Linked DNA regions of Stegostoma tigrinum. The protein of the gene in region 1 purifies or fractionates together with the protein of each later gene. This does not show direct contact. Links are inferred from orthologs where the notes say so. Each region holds a gene or a part of one and is shown on either strand. Other genes may lie near its edges.

Region 1 (7,330 bases):
GTGCCTCACGTTTACCTTCCCTTCCATTGTACGCAGCCATCCCAAAGCATCCATTCACCAGGCTCTTCCATTGTACCCACCACATTCAGGACGCTTTTCCTTTGCCAGCCTCACCCTCCTGTTCACTGTGCTCTACTATTGCACACTCCACTTCCACATAAATCACGCTGTTCTGCTGCACCCACTCAGCCTGACATTATATAGCAAGAACTGCCAATGTTGGAGAATCTCAGTCAAAACAGTGTGAGGCTGAATGAACACAGCAGACCAAGCAGCATCTGAAGAACAGGAAAGCTGACGTTTCTTCCCTTCTTCAGAAGAAGAAAGTCAGCCTGACATTAAATGTGTTCTTCCATTGGTGAAGGTTGACAGCTGGCCCCTCTGCCAACTATGTTGCTGCTGTCCCTCTTGGCTGCCATCCTACTTTATCAGACCCTCTCCTTCTTCCCCATACCCTGAATGTCCCTCAGGGACAAAACCATAAACTGCTGGGAAAACGTAGCAAGTCTAACAGAAATAACAAAGTGTGGAGCTGGATGAACACAGCAGGCCAAGCAGCATCTCAGGAGCACAAAAGCTGACATTTCGGGCCTAGACCCTTCATCAGAAAAGGGGGATGGGGAGAGGGTTCTGAAATAAATAGGGAGAGAGGGGGAGGCAGATCGAAGATGAATAGAGGAAAAGGTAGGTGGAGAGGAGACAGACAAATTAAAGGGGCGGGCATGGATCCTGTAGAGGTGAGTATAGGTGGGAGGTAGGGAGAGGATAGGTCAGTCCAAGGAGGACGGACAGGTCAAGGGGGCGGGACGAGGTTAGAAGGAAGGAAATGAGGGTGCGGCTTGAGGTGAGAGGAGGGGAAAGGAGAGAGGAAGAACAGATTAGGGAGGTGGGGACGAGCTGGGCTAGTTTTGGGATGCAGTGGGGGGGAGGGGAGATTTTGAAGCTTGTGAAATCCACATTGATACCATTGGGCTGCAGGGTTCTGCAACCTTCGGGTAGCATCGTTATGGCACTGCAGGAGGCCCAGGGTGGTCGTGTCATCTAAAGAATGCGAGGGGGAATTGAAATGGTTCGCGACTGTGAGGTGCAGTTGTTTATTGCAAACTGAGTGTAGGTGTTCTGCAAAGCAGTCTCCAAGACTCTGCTGGTTTCCCTGATGTAGAGGCAGCCACAACGGGTACAGCGGATGCAGTATAGCACATCGGCAGATGTGCAGGTGAAGATGTGCAGGAGGCTTGGGGACCACATCCTAAAACCAGCCCAGTCCCTCCGCTTCTTCCTGTCCCACAGACCCAACCAGTCCCTCTCCAACGACATCCTCATCCGCCTAGCCGAACTTGTCCTCACCCTCAACAACTTCTCTTTCTATTCCTCCCAATTCCTACAGACAAAAGGGATGGCCATGGGTACCCACATGGGCCCAAGCTATGCCCGCCTCTTTGTAGGTTACGTGGAACAGTCCCTCTTCCGCAACTACACTGGCCCCAACCCCCACCTCTTCCTCTGTTACATTGATACCTGTATTGGTGCCGCCTCGCGCTCCCAAGAGGAGCTCAAACAGTTCATCCACTTCACTAACCCCTTCCGCCCCAACCTTAAGTTCACCTGGACCATCTCCGACACATCCCTCACCTTCCTGGACCTGTCTCCATCTCAGGCAACCACCTAGAAACCGATGTCCATTTCAAGCTCACCGACTCCCACAGCTACCTAGAAATCAACTCCACACACCCACCTTCCTGCAAAAATTACATCCCCTATTCCCAATTCCTTCACCTCCGCCGCATCTGCTCCCAGGATGAGGCTATCCACTCCCGTACATCCCAGATCTCCTCGTTCTTCAAGGAGCGCAACATCCCCCTGCGGTGGTCGAGAACGCCCTCAACCACGTCTCCCGCATTTCCCGCAACTCATCCCTCACACCCCGCCCCTGCAATAACTGCCAAACGAGAATCCCCCTAGTTCTCACATACCACCCCACAAACCTGTGGATACAACGCATCATCCTCCGACACTTCTGCCATCTACAATCCAACCCCACCGCTAAAGACAGTTTTCCATCCCCACACTTCTCTCTGTCTGCCTTCCGGAGAGAACACTCTCTCCGCGATTCCCTTATCCGCTCCACATTCCCCTCCAACCCCACCACACCCGGCACTTTCTCCTGCAACCGCAGGAAGTGCTACACTTGCCCTCACACCTCCTCCCTCACCCCCATCCCAGGCCCCAAGAAGACTTTACACATCAAGCAGACGTTCACCTGCACATCCGCCAATGTGGTATACTGCATCTGCTGTACACTGTGTGGCTTCCTCTACATTGGGGAAACCAAGCGGAGGCTTGGGGACCGGTTTGCAGAACACCTATGCTCGGTTCACAGTAAATAACTGCATCTAGTATAGAGAGATAATGGGAACTGCAGATGCTGGGGAATCCAAGATTATAAAGTGTGAAGCTGGATGAACACAGCAAGCCACGCAGCATCTCAGGAGCACAAAAGCTGACTTTTCGGGCCTAGACCCTTCATCAGAGAGAGGCCTGAAACGTCAGCTTTTGTGCTCCTGAGATGCTGCTTGGCCTGCTGTGTTCACCCAGCTTCACACTGTATTATCTTGCACCTCGTATAAAATAGTTTAAGTTAGATGGGCTTGAGATCGGTATGACAGGTCAGCACAACATCGAGGGCCGAAGGGCCTGTACTGTGCTGTAATGTTCTATACCTCATTGTCGCAAACCATTTCAGCTCCCCCTCCCATTCCTGAGATGGCATGTCCATCATGGGCCTCCTGCAGTGCCACAATGACACCACCGATAGGTTGCGGGAACAGCAACTCATATTCCGCTTGGGAACCCTGCAGCCCAATGGTATCACTGTGGGTTTCACCAGCTTCAAAATCTCCCCTCCCCCCACTGCATCCCAAAACCAGCCCAGTTCGTCCCCTCGTCCCTAAACTGTTCTTCCTCTCACCTATCCCCTCCTCCCAACACACCTCCGTTTCCTACCTACTAACCTCATCCCACCCCCTTGACCTGTACGTCCTCCCCGGACTGACCTATCCCCTCCCTACCTCCCCACCTATACTCTCCTCTCCACCTATCTTCTTTTGTCTCCATCTTCAATCTGCCTACCTCTCTCTCCCTATTTATTTCAGAACCCTCTCCTCATCCCCCTTTTCTGATGGAGGGTCTAGGCCTGAAACGTCAGCTTTTGTGCTCCTGAGATGCTGCTGGGCCTGCTGTGTTCATCCAGCTTCACACTTTGTTAGAGATAATGGGAACTGCAGATGCTGGAGATTCCAAGATAATAAAATGTGAGGCTGGATGAACACAGCAGGCCAAGCAGCATCTCAGGAGCACAAAAGCTGACATTTCGGGCCTAGACCCTTCATCAGAGAGGGGGATGGGGGGAGGGAACTGGAATAAATAGGGAGAGAGGGGGAGGCGGACCGAAGATGGAGAGTAAAGAAGATAGGTGGAGAGGGTGTAGGTGGGGAGGTAGGGAGGGGATAGGTCAGTCCAGGGAAGACGGACAGGTCAAGGAGGTGGGATGAGGTTAGTAGGTAGCTGGGGGTGCGGCTTGGGGTGGGAGGAAGGGATGGGTGAGAGGAAGAACCGGTTCGGGAGGCAGAGACAGGTTGGACTGGTTTTGGGATGCAGTGGGTGGGGGGGAAGAGCTGGGCTGGTTGTGTGGTGCAGTGGGGGGAGGGGATGAACTGGGCTGGTTGAGGGATGCAGTGGGGGAAGGGGAGATTTTGAAACTGGTGAAGTCCACATTGATACCATATGGCTGCAGGGTTCCCAGGCGGAATATGAGTTGCTGTTCCTGCAACCTTCGGGTGGCATCATTGTGGCAGTGCAGGAGGCCCATGATGGACATGTCATCAAGAGAATGGGAGGGGGAGTGGAAATGGTTTGCGACTGGGAGGTGCAGTTGTTTGTTGCGAACTGAGCGGAGGTGTTCTGCAAAGCGGTCCCCAAGCCTCCGCTTGGTTTCCCCAATGTAGAGAAAGCCGCACCGGGTACAGTGGATGCAGTATACACTTTGTTATCTTGGTTTCTCCAGCATCTGCAGTTCCCGTTACCTCTGATACAAGTCTAACAATCTGTGGAGAGAAAGCCAAATTAACGTTTCTAGTGCAGCACCAAACCACCAAACCCCTTATTCCTGGAGCACGCCCCCTTCCTAAAGACCCACCCCTAACCCTGGAGACCCGCCCCTCCACCCTTACACCCCACCCCACCTCCCCATTCATTGAGCCTGGGCCCGGGCCAGGGCCGTCCTCTCGCGAGAGCTGCCCGGCGTTTCCGGTGTTTTTGTGCGGCCCCAGGCCGGGCGGGCGGGCAGAGAGGCGAGAGTCCGTGAACATGGCGGTCAGCGTTCGCGGCCGCTCCGTTAGGAGCCTCCGCATCAGAGGTACATTACCCTCAGTCGTCAGACCCGGCCGGCAAGGCATAGACCGATAACCAGAACAAAAACAAAAAACCCTCAGCAGCGGCAATTAACGACGCTCGCACTTTAATAACGGCCCCGTCGAATGTTGTTTGTTTATGGAAATAAAATGTATGACTTACCGGCCACCTTAACTGAACCATCCTTAATCGTATTTGTTTTCTCTCTCTCTCTCCTCTGCACATATCTTCTTATATTGATTTACAATATGCACGCAGGGCGGAATGACAGCGGGGAGGAGAACGTGCCGCTCGATCTGTCCCGAGGTAAGGGGGAAACGGGGCATTTTTTTTAAATATGAGGACGGTGGAAGGAAGTAAATAAACAAAATAAAATTCTGTAGGAGGTTGGTGATGGCGGATCGTGGTGGGGGAGGAATGGTGTTGGAGCTACGATGAGACGTGAGGGCAAAGTCGCTGCTCCGCTGACCGGAGTGTGAGGGAGACCACAAAACTTTGGAATTATTGTGTAAAGGAGTTGGGGGTGGGGAGGGAACCGGTGGACTCAGTCGGGAGGAGTGGGAAAGTGAAGTTGTTTTTCCTTCTCTCTGACTGTCTCCCGCCGCCCTCGCACCGAATGAATCAGGGGCCGCCGCCTCTCCTGGGCGCCAGCTTTTCAAACACTAACGGCTCCCGGGCCGCGAGCCCCGTCCGTTGGTGGGGAGATTCCACTCGGGGGCAGGAGAGGGGTTTGTGGGATCATTCATCTGCCCCACGCCCCGCCCCGCTCCTCCCCCCCCCCCCCCATCTCTGTTTGTGGTCTCGCCTTTCCACTCCGCCCTGGAGCTGGTTGGCCCTCCACTGTCATTGGGGGCGGGTGGGCTAAAGGGAGAACTGGGTGCATTTTGCGGGGTTGGGGTAGGAAAGAAAGTGAGCTGGGATTTATTGATTAGGAAGGGGACGACGGTGTTGAAGTGGGATGGGAAAAGGGGGGACTGGGAGAGGGCGAAGGATAATGGATAGGGGGAGCAGGCAAGATGGGAATCTGTGTAATCGGATTGGGGGGGGGATGTAAGATGAGGCTGGGGGTAGGGGGAACGTCTGGGACAGATCAAATAGCTGAAAGATGCAATACAGGATTGGACATTGAGGGTATGAAACTGGGCATCGAGGATCTTGAAGTAGTGGGTGGTAAAGAACCTAACAAATAGGAGGAGTAAACACTACAGCCTCTTGAGACCTAAACTTGTTCGACAGTAGAGCGCCTGCAAGCCCCTCTCATCTGTCATTCAAAATATCTGCAGCGATCTTTGTGAGTGTTCAGTTCTGATGGAGTCATCTAGATTCAAAACATTAGCATGGGCTTTCTCCATGGATGCTGTAAGACCTGCTGTGACCTCCAGCATTTCTTGTTTTCAGTTTGTGTGTGTAATTGTTAACTGGCATCCACAGCGCTCTCGGGTACAGAACTCCAAAAATTCATATGTCTTTCAGTGAAATTATGGGTATGGGGCGATAGTGGGAGCGTGGCCCTCAGATGGAGGATCAGCTATGATCATGTTGAAGTGGACTAGTTACACTGAATTGGTTTTGTTTTCTGTATTTTTGTGTTTTCTCATCTCAATTCTAAGTGACCAGTCCCTTAGTCTGAGCCTTTGACTCTACATTCTTGATTTTCTGTATTTTTCTATATGCCCCTTTGCCACTGTCATCCTATTTTGTCTGCCTTCTCCTGCATTGTACTGTACACTTTTTCAGTGAAATTTTCTCTCACCCAGCTTAGTTCATTCTAAGCAAGAGCCATTCTATTCCAATTTCCTCCCCCAAAGTTGTTCCATTCTAGACAAACCAAGCAAGACCTTTCATGTAGCGATACCTCCTGTTATTTCAAGTTAATTAACACCTCAAGCTGTCACTATTTAGGCATGATTTTGTACTCACCAGTGCTCTAAAACTATCCTCTGCCTACTCAGCAAATAAAACCAGCATTTTTCACTGTCCAAAGTAGTGATTTTTTGGCAACGAAAGTCATTAATATTCTCTCAATCCTAAATCTAGTACTGCTAAATTGCAAGGAATGGGTATTTTCTCTTGTTAATGTTTCACATCTGATGCCAGCTGATAACATGTAACATTATTAAATGCATTGTCTGTGCTCGTTTAGAAACAAAAGCAAGTGGTCTCCTGGATGGTGGCTCAGTAGGTAGCACAGCTGCCTCACAGCACCTAGCACCCGGGTTCAATACCAGCCTCGGGCAGCCGTGCAGACTCCACACAGACGTTCTCACAGGGTCGGGATAGGTTTCCTCCTGGTGCTCTGATTTCCTCCCACAGTCCAGAGATGTGTGTTAGGTGGATTAGCCATGGGAAATGCAGGCTTACAGGGAGAGGGTTGGATCTGGATGGGATGCTGTTTGGAAGATCAGCGTGGACTTGAAGGGCTGAATGGTCTGTTCCACAGTATTGGGATTCTGAGCTTCTATCGTGGTGGTACCTGGTCTCCCAGCAGCATTGATTTAGCGAGTGAGTCATGCAGTGCAAGTGCAGTATTTCTGAAAACGCTGACTACTGGTGCCTATGTGTGGAACCTGCTCGGTATCTCTTGCCCAAGTGCTTGTATTGACCCTACTCCATTAATCAGTTCCAGCGCCAGCCTAACCTTTGCCCTATCGCGCTGCTCCGGAGATGCCTTCCCTGTCTGTCAGCTTGCAAACATTGCCTAGTAATGAAGCCTTCAGTGATTTGTTTACGTTTAAAATGGACTCTTAAGTTTTGTGGGAAGTGGCGGCAGTTTCGATGTATTTTTCTGTATTAACGTTTATTGCTTTTTGACTCTGGGTGGAGAAAGGAGGATGATGGGTGCACGATGTGTTTTTTTCGAAACGGCCACGTCCTGAGGGGAGGGACCGGCGACTGCGTCTCCAGCAGCCCGGGCTCTCTG
Region 2 (7,159 bases), on another chromosome or scaffold:
TCGCTGAAGGTAGGTTTGCAGGTGCAGCAGGCGATTAAAAAGGCAAATGGAATTTTGTCTGCCATTGCTCGAGGGATGGGGTTTAAAAACAGGGAGGCTATGCTGCAGCTGTACAGGGTCCCGGTGAGGCCACACCTGGAGTACTGTGCGCAGTTTTAGTGTCCTTACTTGAGAAGGGATATACTAGCACTGGAGGGGGTGCAAAGGAGATTCACTCGGTTGATTCCAGAGTTGAGAGGGTTGGATTATGAGGGGATACTGAGTAGGCTGGGATTATACTCACTGGAATTCAGAAAAATGAGGGGAGATCTTTTAGAAACATATAAGATTATGAAGGGAATAGATAAGGTGGAGGCAGGAAGGTTGTTTCTGTTCGCAGGTGAAACTAGGGCTAGAGGGCATCGCCTCAAAATAAAGGGAAGCAGATGTAGGACTGAGGTCAGGAGGAACTTCTTCACCCAAAGGGTTGTGAATCTGTGGAATTCCCTATCCAGTGAAGCAGTTGAAGCTACCTCGCTGAATGTGTTTAAGGCAAGGCTAGATAAATTTTTGAACAGTAAAGGAATTAAGGGTTATGGGGAGTGGGCAGGTAAGTGGAGCTGAGTCTCAAACAGATCAGGCATGAAGTTATTAAATGGCTGGGCAGGCTTGAGGGGCCAGATGGCCTACTCCTGCTCCTAGTTCTTACGTCTTTTGGACACAACAAGCTTGTATTCACTTGAGTTTACAACAGTAAGGGGTGATTTGATTCGAAAAATTAAGATCCCGAGACATCTTGACAGGATGCATGTTGAATAAACATTTCCTCCTCTTTGGGGAATCTCGAGCTGTTAAAAAAGATAGGGGGCTGCCCATTTAATACAGAGAGAATGAGAGTTTATTGCTAACGGAGATCCTAAATTTTTAGAACTCTCTTCCTCCTAAGTGGCTGTAAATAGATTCCTTGAATATTTTGAAGGCAGAGGTAGGCAAATTTGTGATAATGAAGGGGGTGAGGGGTGACTGGGAATCTTATTGAATGACAGAACAGGCTCAGGGCGCTGAGTGGTCTACATGTAGATGTATCTTATACCATGCCCTGCAGCTACAAATGCGGCAAAAATGTGAGGTGCCACAGCCTCCTCAGTTAAAATATAACCCAAAACTTCATGACTCATTTAGAACCTCAGTTGCCTTGCGTAAAATCACAGTGGAAAGACTATGTCACAAATTCACTTCATGTGTGAGAGAGTCTGTAGGTTTGAGTTGTAAAGGAGAGGCTGGGTAGGCAGGGACTTTTTCTCCCTGGTGTGTCAGAGACTGAGCTTTTAGAGGTTTTCGTGAGGGACATAGATAAGGTAATTACCAAGGTCTTCCTCCCAAAGAGTAAGGGAGCATCCGTCTAAGGTGAGAGGGGGCAGATTTAAAAGGGAACTGAGGGACAACTTTTCCACAAGGTGAGTGGTGCAAATATGGGACCAGCTGCCAGGTGATGTGGTAGAGGAGGATACAGTTACAAAATTGAAAAGACATTTGGACAGGTACATGAATAGGAAAGGTTTAGAAGGATATGGGCCAGACACAGGCAAATGATACTAGTTCAGTTTGGGATACCTGGTTGGTGTGGACGAGATGGACTGAAGGGTCTGTCTCTGTGTGTTTAACTCTGGACAAAATCAAAGATGTCTATAATGTGTGCATTTAGGTGTGACATAGTGTGTATATGTGACAGTGTACGTTTTAGGGAGACGACAGACACCTCACTTGGGAGGGTGACATTGTGTGTAATCACCAATAAATGAGGGGGGGGGGTGGGGGTGGGAAATAAGATTTGAAATGCGGTGAGCGTGTATGAGAGAGGGAGGGAGAGACCGAGCAAACAGTTTACACATGGGACTCTCAATTAATGTCTAAAGTGAGGAAGTGGGAAGCAATGCTGGACCTGTGCCTCACGGCCCTTTGCTCCAGTATCGGCATTCACAGTACCAGTTCCCGTGTATCAATAACAGAAAGGCTAACTCGCCGTATACAAGGCGGGGATGGGATGGCGGGGGGGGGGGGTGTCCTGGGAAACTCTGCAGAAAGTCAGAGCAGTAAAACTAAATCGGAGGTGGGGGGGGGGCGAAGTAAAATGTAAAAACAAAAGTCCCCTTAAAACTAGCGATTCAGTGGTTAGGGTTAGGGTTAGGAACCCTGAGTTCTGCCTTTCAGCAGAGTCTGACCAGTCACTGAGAATCACTTACCCCTGAAACGTTGGCAGATTGTTCAGCGTTGAGGCGGCAGGTCTGTTCGGTTCTCGGAGAGGGGAGGATCCAAGAGGCGAGCTGCTGTTATGGGAGGTGGGAGCTAGGCATTATAGCTAGCAGTGGGACTGACGCCTCTCCGCTGTCTCTGGCCTCCCTTTATACACAGTTTAGGCTGGGTCGCCCTGGTGGGAGGTGTACATTTATATCGTGAGACGGCCGTCGTTCAGTTGCGGCTTTTCCTGACGGGCTGTAATTTTTTCCTTGTCGTTTGGGGCAGCCAGGCAGCTTGTTGGACCGAATCCAACGCTTTGGTCATTGAGAATTTTTTTTTCAATGGTTTTAAAAATTTGTGAGTTCGAGCGAAACAAAAAGTAGTAACCCGGAGGACTCAAGGCAGAACAGGGTAGCGTGCAGTTTCTTTTTGAAGTTTATCTTTCCTTGTCTTTGGATGGGGACCGAAGTAAAATTCATCTTGAGAGACGCCGGAATTGGCAGAATTCAATCTTCCAGTGGCTATCTGGGTATGTTTAACGCGCAAAGTGCAGACTTACATTTAGATAACGCCTTTCGCCACATCGGGATGTCACAGTGGTCGGGTGTGCTGTCCCCACCGTGTGGAAGCAGGCCGTTCGGCCCAACCAGACTACACCGCCCGTCCACTTACAACCACCCCATCCCTATAACCCTGCATTTCCCAAAACCAATCCCCCTAACCTATGCATCTTGAGAGTGAGGGAAGAAAATCCGTCCAGACGCGGAGAGAACGTGCAGACTCCACGCTGAGAACTGAACGTGGGTCCCTCACACTATCAAAGCAGCAATGCTGAACGCTGACCCACCCTGTCGTTCAAACACAGTTTCACTCAGTGAAATATCACTTGAAGTCTGGTCACTTTTCCAATGGACAAGAAGTTCCCAAACAGGATATTGAGCAGCTCATTTATTGCCAGCAGTCACAGCCCAGAAATAAATATTGGCCAGGATACCAAGGAAATGACCCATGTTCAAACAGGGCGATTCGATTTCCAATCATCCAGAAAGACTAGCAGGGTGTTGCTCTAACCTATTTTGGCTGTCCAGCAACTGGACTGTTCACCTACGTTTGGGATGAAAATGCTACCAGGCATATTGCTCTGAAATAAAAGCAAAACGGGCTGTACAAACGCTGTATTTAAACTCCTCAGTTCAACAAGAGAATCTGGGGGTGAAAAGAGGCAGTTGTTGCCAAATTCATCAGCAGGTTGAGCAGGTAGTCTGAGGATTCAAAGAGGCAATTAAAGGAGAATATATAAACACAAGATCTGGGGACAGGTATTTATAAAGTGGATTGTTGCTAACCTTATAAAGGTCAGAATGCCGTCACATGCAGTGGATCACTCTGAAGTGCAATGTAGGCAAACACGGCAGTTTATTTTGCAGAAAGCAGAAAAGAATGAGTGACCATTGGTCTAGGCCCGAAATGTCAGCTTTTGTGCTCCTCAGATGCTGCTTGGCCTGCTGTGTTCATCCAGCCCCACACTTTGTTATTTCGGATTCTCCAGCATCTGCAGTTCCCATTATCTCTTGAGTGACCATTTGATGTGTTGCTCGTGGTTTTGGTGGAAATTGAAACATTGACCAGGACGTTAAGAAATACTCTCTAATTGTCCCCAATAGTGTTGACCGGGACCTTCTATAACTAATCTGAAGCAGAGACTGTCTTCAGAATATCACTGAAATGTTCCAGTGTAAGAGGAGGTTATTTGGCTCCTCACGTCTGTACTAGCTTTCTGAGTTTTATGACTTAGTGTCACTCTCCCGCTTTCCCCCCATAATCCTGAGTATTGCTTCCATTTAAATAATTATCTAATGCTGCCTCAGATGCTTCAAGGGAACTTGCCACCAAGACACTCCCAGGCAGTGCACTCCAGCATCTAATTATTCAGTGTGAAAAAGTTTTCTTTTTTGCAAATTGATTCAAATCTGTGACTGCTTGGTCCTTAGATTCTTTTATGAGGGGCAGCAGGTTCTCCCTGCTTACTCTGTCCAAGATCCTTCATGATTTTGCAAACTTCTATCAACCTGCTGTCATGTGTTCTGTGAAAGACAGTGCTCGAGTAATTCAGCATAGTTCTGGAATGTCATCATAGATTAGAATCATAGAATCCCTACAGTGTGGAAGCGGGACATTCAGCCCATCGAGACCACACCGGCCTTCCAAACAGCATCCCACCCAGACCCACCCTCCGCAACGCCAACTCTACCCCCATAACCCTACATTACATATGGCTAATCCATCTAGCCTGCACGTCCCTGGATACAGTGGGCAATTTCGCATGGCCAATGCACCGAACCTGTACATCTTTAGGACTGTGGAAGGAAACCAGAGGACTCGTAAGAAACCCACACAGGCACGGGGAGAATGTAGAAATTCCACACTGAGAGTGGAATTGAATCCAGGTCCGTGGCACTGAGAGTAGTTAATCGTTAAGTGGAGTTTACAACTACAAGGAAAACATTGTCTTTTATGTGAAGAACAATAGATACCTGAGATTGATTAGAAGGCAATAATCTCATCAAGATTTCACAATGCTGCAAGAGCAAAGATTTAGCTACTTATAATCATTACCTGAAATTTGAACTGATCTTGTAGGTTGTGACCATATTTAGCTGGCATGCCCTGAAACATAATAAAAATCTTTATCATTATGAAGGAGTTTCTTAGAGTGAAGGTGAAGAAGACGTTTATACTCATGGGTGAATCGAGGCAAGACACATGAATAGAAGCTAGGGAAGAAAGGAAACTAAAAATTTAAGGGGCATTTATTTCCAAGGCAGTAAAAATGTGGAACACACTTGAATAGATTGAAGCTGCATATAAAGACGAGGTTGAGGGCAATAGAGTGACATAAACCAACAGGAGAAAGAATAGGAGATTGTGTTGGCAATACAGACAATAATAAACTAACTGAAAGGGACTCTTAGCCATATAGTGACACAGCAAGGAAACTGGCCCTTTGGTCCAACTCGTTCACGCCGACCAAGTTTCCCAAACTAAAGTAGCCTGATTTGCCTGAATTTGGCCCATATCGCTCTAAACCTTTCCTATTTATGTACATATCCAAACGTCTTTTAAATGTTGAAATTGTACCCCCCTCGACCACTTCCTCTGGTAGCTGATTCCATACACACCAGCCTCTGTGTGTAAAAGTTGCCCTCAGGTGCTTTTTAAATCTTGCCCCTCTCACCTTAAACCTGTGACCTCTAGTTTAAGACTCTTATAGGATGGTGAAGATGAAAATTAGAAATTACTGTTGACACCGAGGTCCCTCTGCTTCCTTGACCCACTTCTCATTGAATTGTTGATCACCACATTTTCCTTCCTGTACTACATATTAGTGGCTTTATAACTAACTCTCTACTCAGTTATTCTCCCGCTGTCCCATTCCTTTTCAAAACTGCCAATATTAAACTGCCAAAAAAATACCCTTGACCTCGCCTATCCTCGCAAATTATCACTGTAGCTCCCACATCCCTCTGCTCTTTGAGAGTGCTGTTACTTCTTAAATCCAAACCCATCTTCCCTGCACCTTCCTGTTTGAATTAGTAATCATGTTTCCATTCCTATCAATAGCACTGCAGCGACATTTATCAAAATCACAAGTAATATCATCCCTGGCCATGTGGTACTTTCTAGCACTGGGCTTCCAAAGCATGTAATCTGATTGGCTATGGTTCTACATCTCTTCCTTTGTCCAATCCTATGTCCTCCTTTCATTCCACTCTTACCTATCCAACCACAGACATTACAATGACAGCATCTTCACTTCCTCCCATGGCACTATTACCTTCAGAGTTCCCTAAGGATCCATGCTTGACACCTCCAATTCCCTCATTTACAAGTTGCATGTTTGAAACATCAAAAACAGACACCTTTTGGAAACATCTAACTCTGCCTCACCATCAGATCTCTTAACTTCACCACTCCTGATGTGTCTATCCAACGTCCAGTCTTGGATGAGCCCGAGTTTCTTTCAGTTAAAGACGAAGGTTATCGTCTTTGGCTTCTGAGACAAATCCCAAGCATTTGGATTGATACTCATCCCTGCCTGGCCACACAACTATTTGCAGCCTCAACAAGTCATTTTGTCACAAACGTGAAGTTTGTAATATTGTGTTGGGATCCTTGCAGAGTGCCTGAGGACGTCCAGCAGGCGATTGTTTTCCAGACCTCAAAAGATACAGGCAAGGAGCCAAAGGATTGAACATTATCTCACTGTTTAAAAAGGATGCAAGGGTTCATCCAAAAACTAATAAACTATTCAATTTGACTCTGGTGGTTCACAAATTGTTGCAATCTGAAGTGATTGTAATGAGGTCAGCCAGGTAGACCCTCTGAATATGAGTTCCCCGATTGGGGCCGCTAATTTGATCCAATCAGGGAGCCCTGGCTGACAGATAACTACAGGACTGTCTGATAGCTTGTCACACTAAGATCTGCCTCTGCGGGAGCTGGATCAGTGTCACATGTTAAATAAAGGGTGACTTGGTGACAGGATATTGGCCTGTGAGTTATTTCAGAATCAATTCTAAGAGGCAAGATAAACAATCACTTAGAAAAGCAGGGATTAATCATGGATAGTCAGCATGGTTTTGTAAAAGGAAGATTGTATCTTATCAACTACATCAAATTTCTTGAGGAGGTAGCAAGGAGGATTGATGAGGATAGTGCAGTGGACGTTGTTTATGTGGATTTTTGTAAGGCATTTTGAAAAGGCCCCACAGGGAAGACTTTCAGAAATATAAAATCGCACGGGATACAATGAATATGTTGAAGTGGGCCCAAAGTTAGCTCAGTGATGTATAACAGAGGTTAATGGTCAATGGATGTTTTGTGAATGGAACGTGGATTTTGGCACATTCTATAGAAGTCTGTATTGAGGCCCTTTCTGTTT

What was found.
Region 2: the proteins of rictora (region 1) and proline-rich protein 5-like purify together in Homo sapiens (affinity purification with western blotting; 3 studies listed by BioGRID and IntAct, with this or other methods). This does not show direct contact. The link is inferred for Stegostoma tigrinum from reciprocal best matches to the Homo sapiens genes RICTOR and PRR5L.

The regions. Positions count from the first base shown.
Region 1 is NC_081356.1:134,468,236-134,475,565, reverse strand, and holds the start of rictora (rapamycin-insensitive companion of mTOR), read left to right. Parts: upstream 1-4,285; 5' UTR 4,286-4,365; coding exon 4,366-4,414; intron 4,415-4,668; coding exon 4,669-4,716; intron 4,717-7,330. UniProt on the Homo sapiens protein: Component of the mechanistic target of rapamycin complex 2 (mTORC2), which transduces signals from growth factors to pathways involved in proliferation, cytoskeletal organization, lipogenesis and anabolic output.
Region 2 is NC_081370.1:339,854-347,012, forward strand, and holds the start of proline-rich protein 5-like, read right to left. Parts: upstream 3,048-7,159; 5' UTR 2,223-3,047; intron 1-2,222. UniProt on the Homo sapiens protein: Associates with the mTORC2 complex that regulates cellular processes including survival and organization of the cytoskeleton.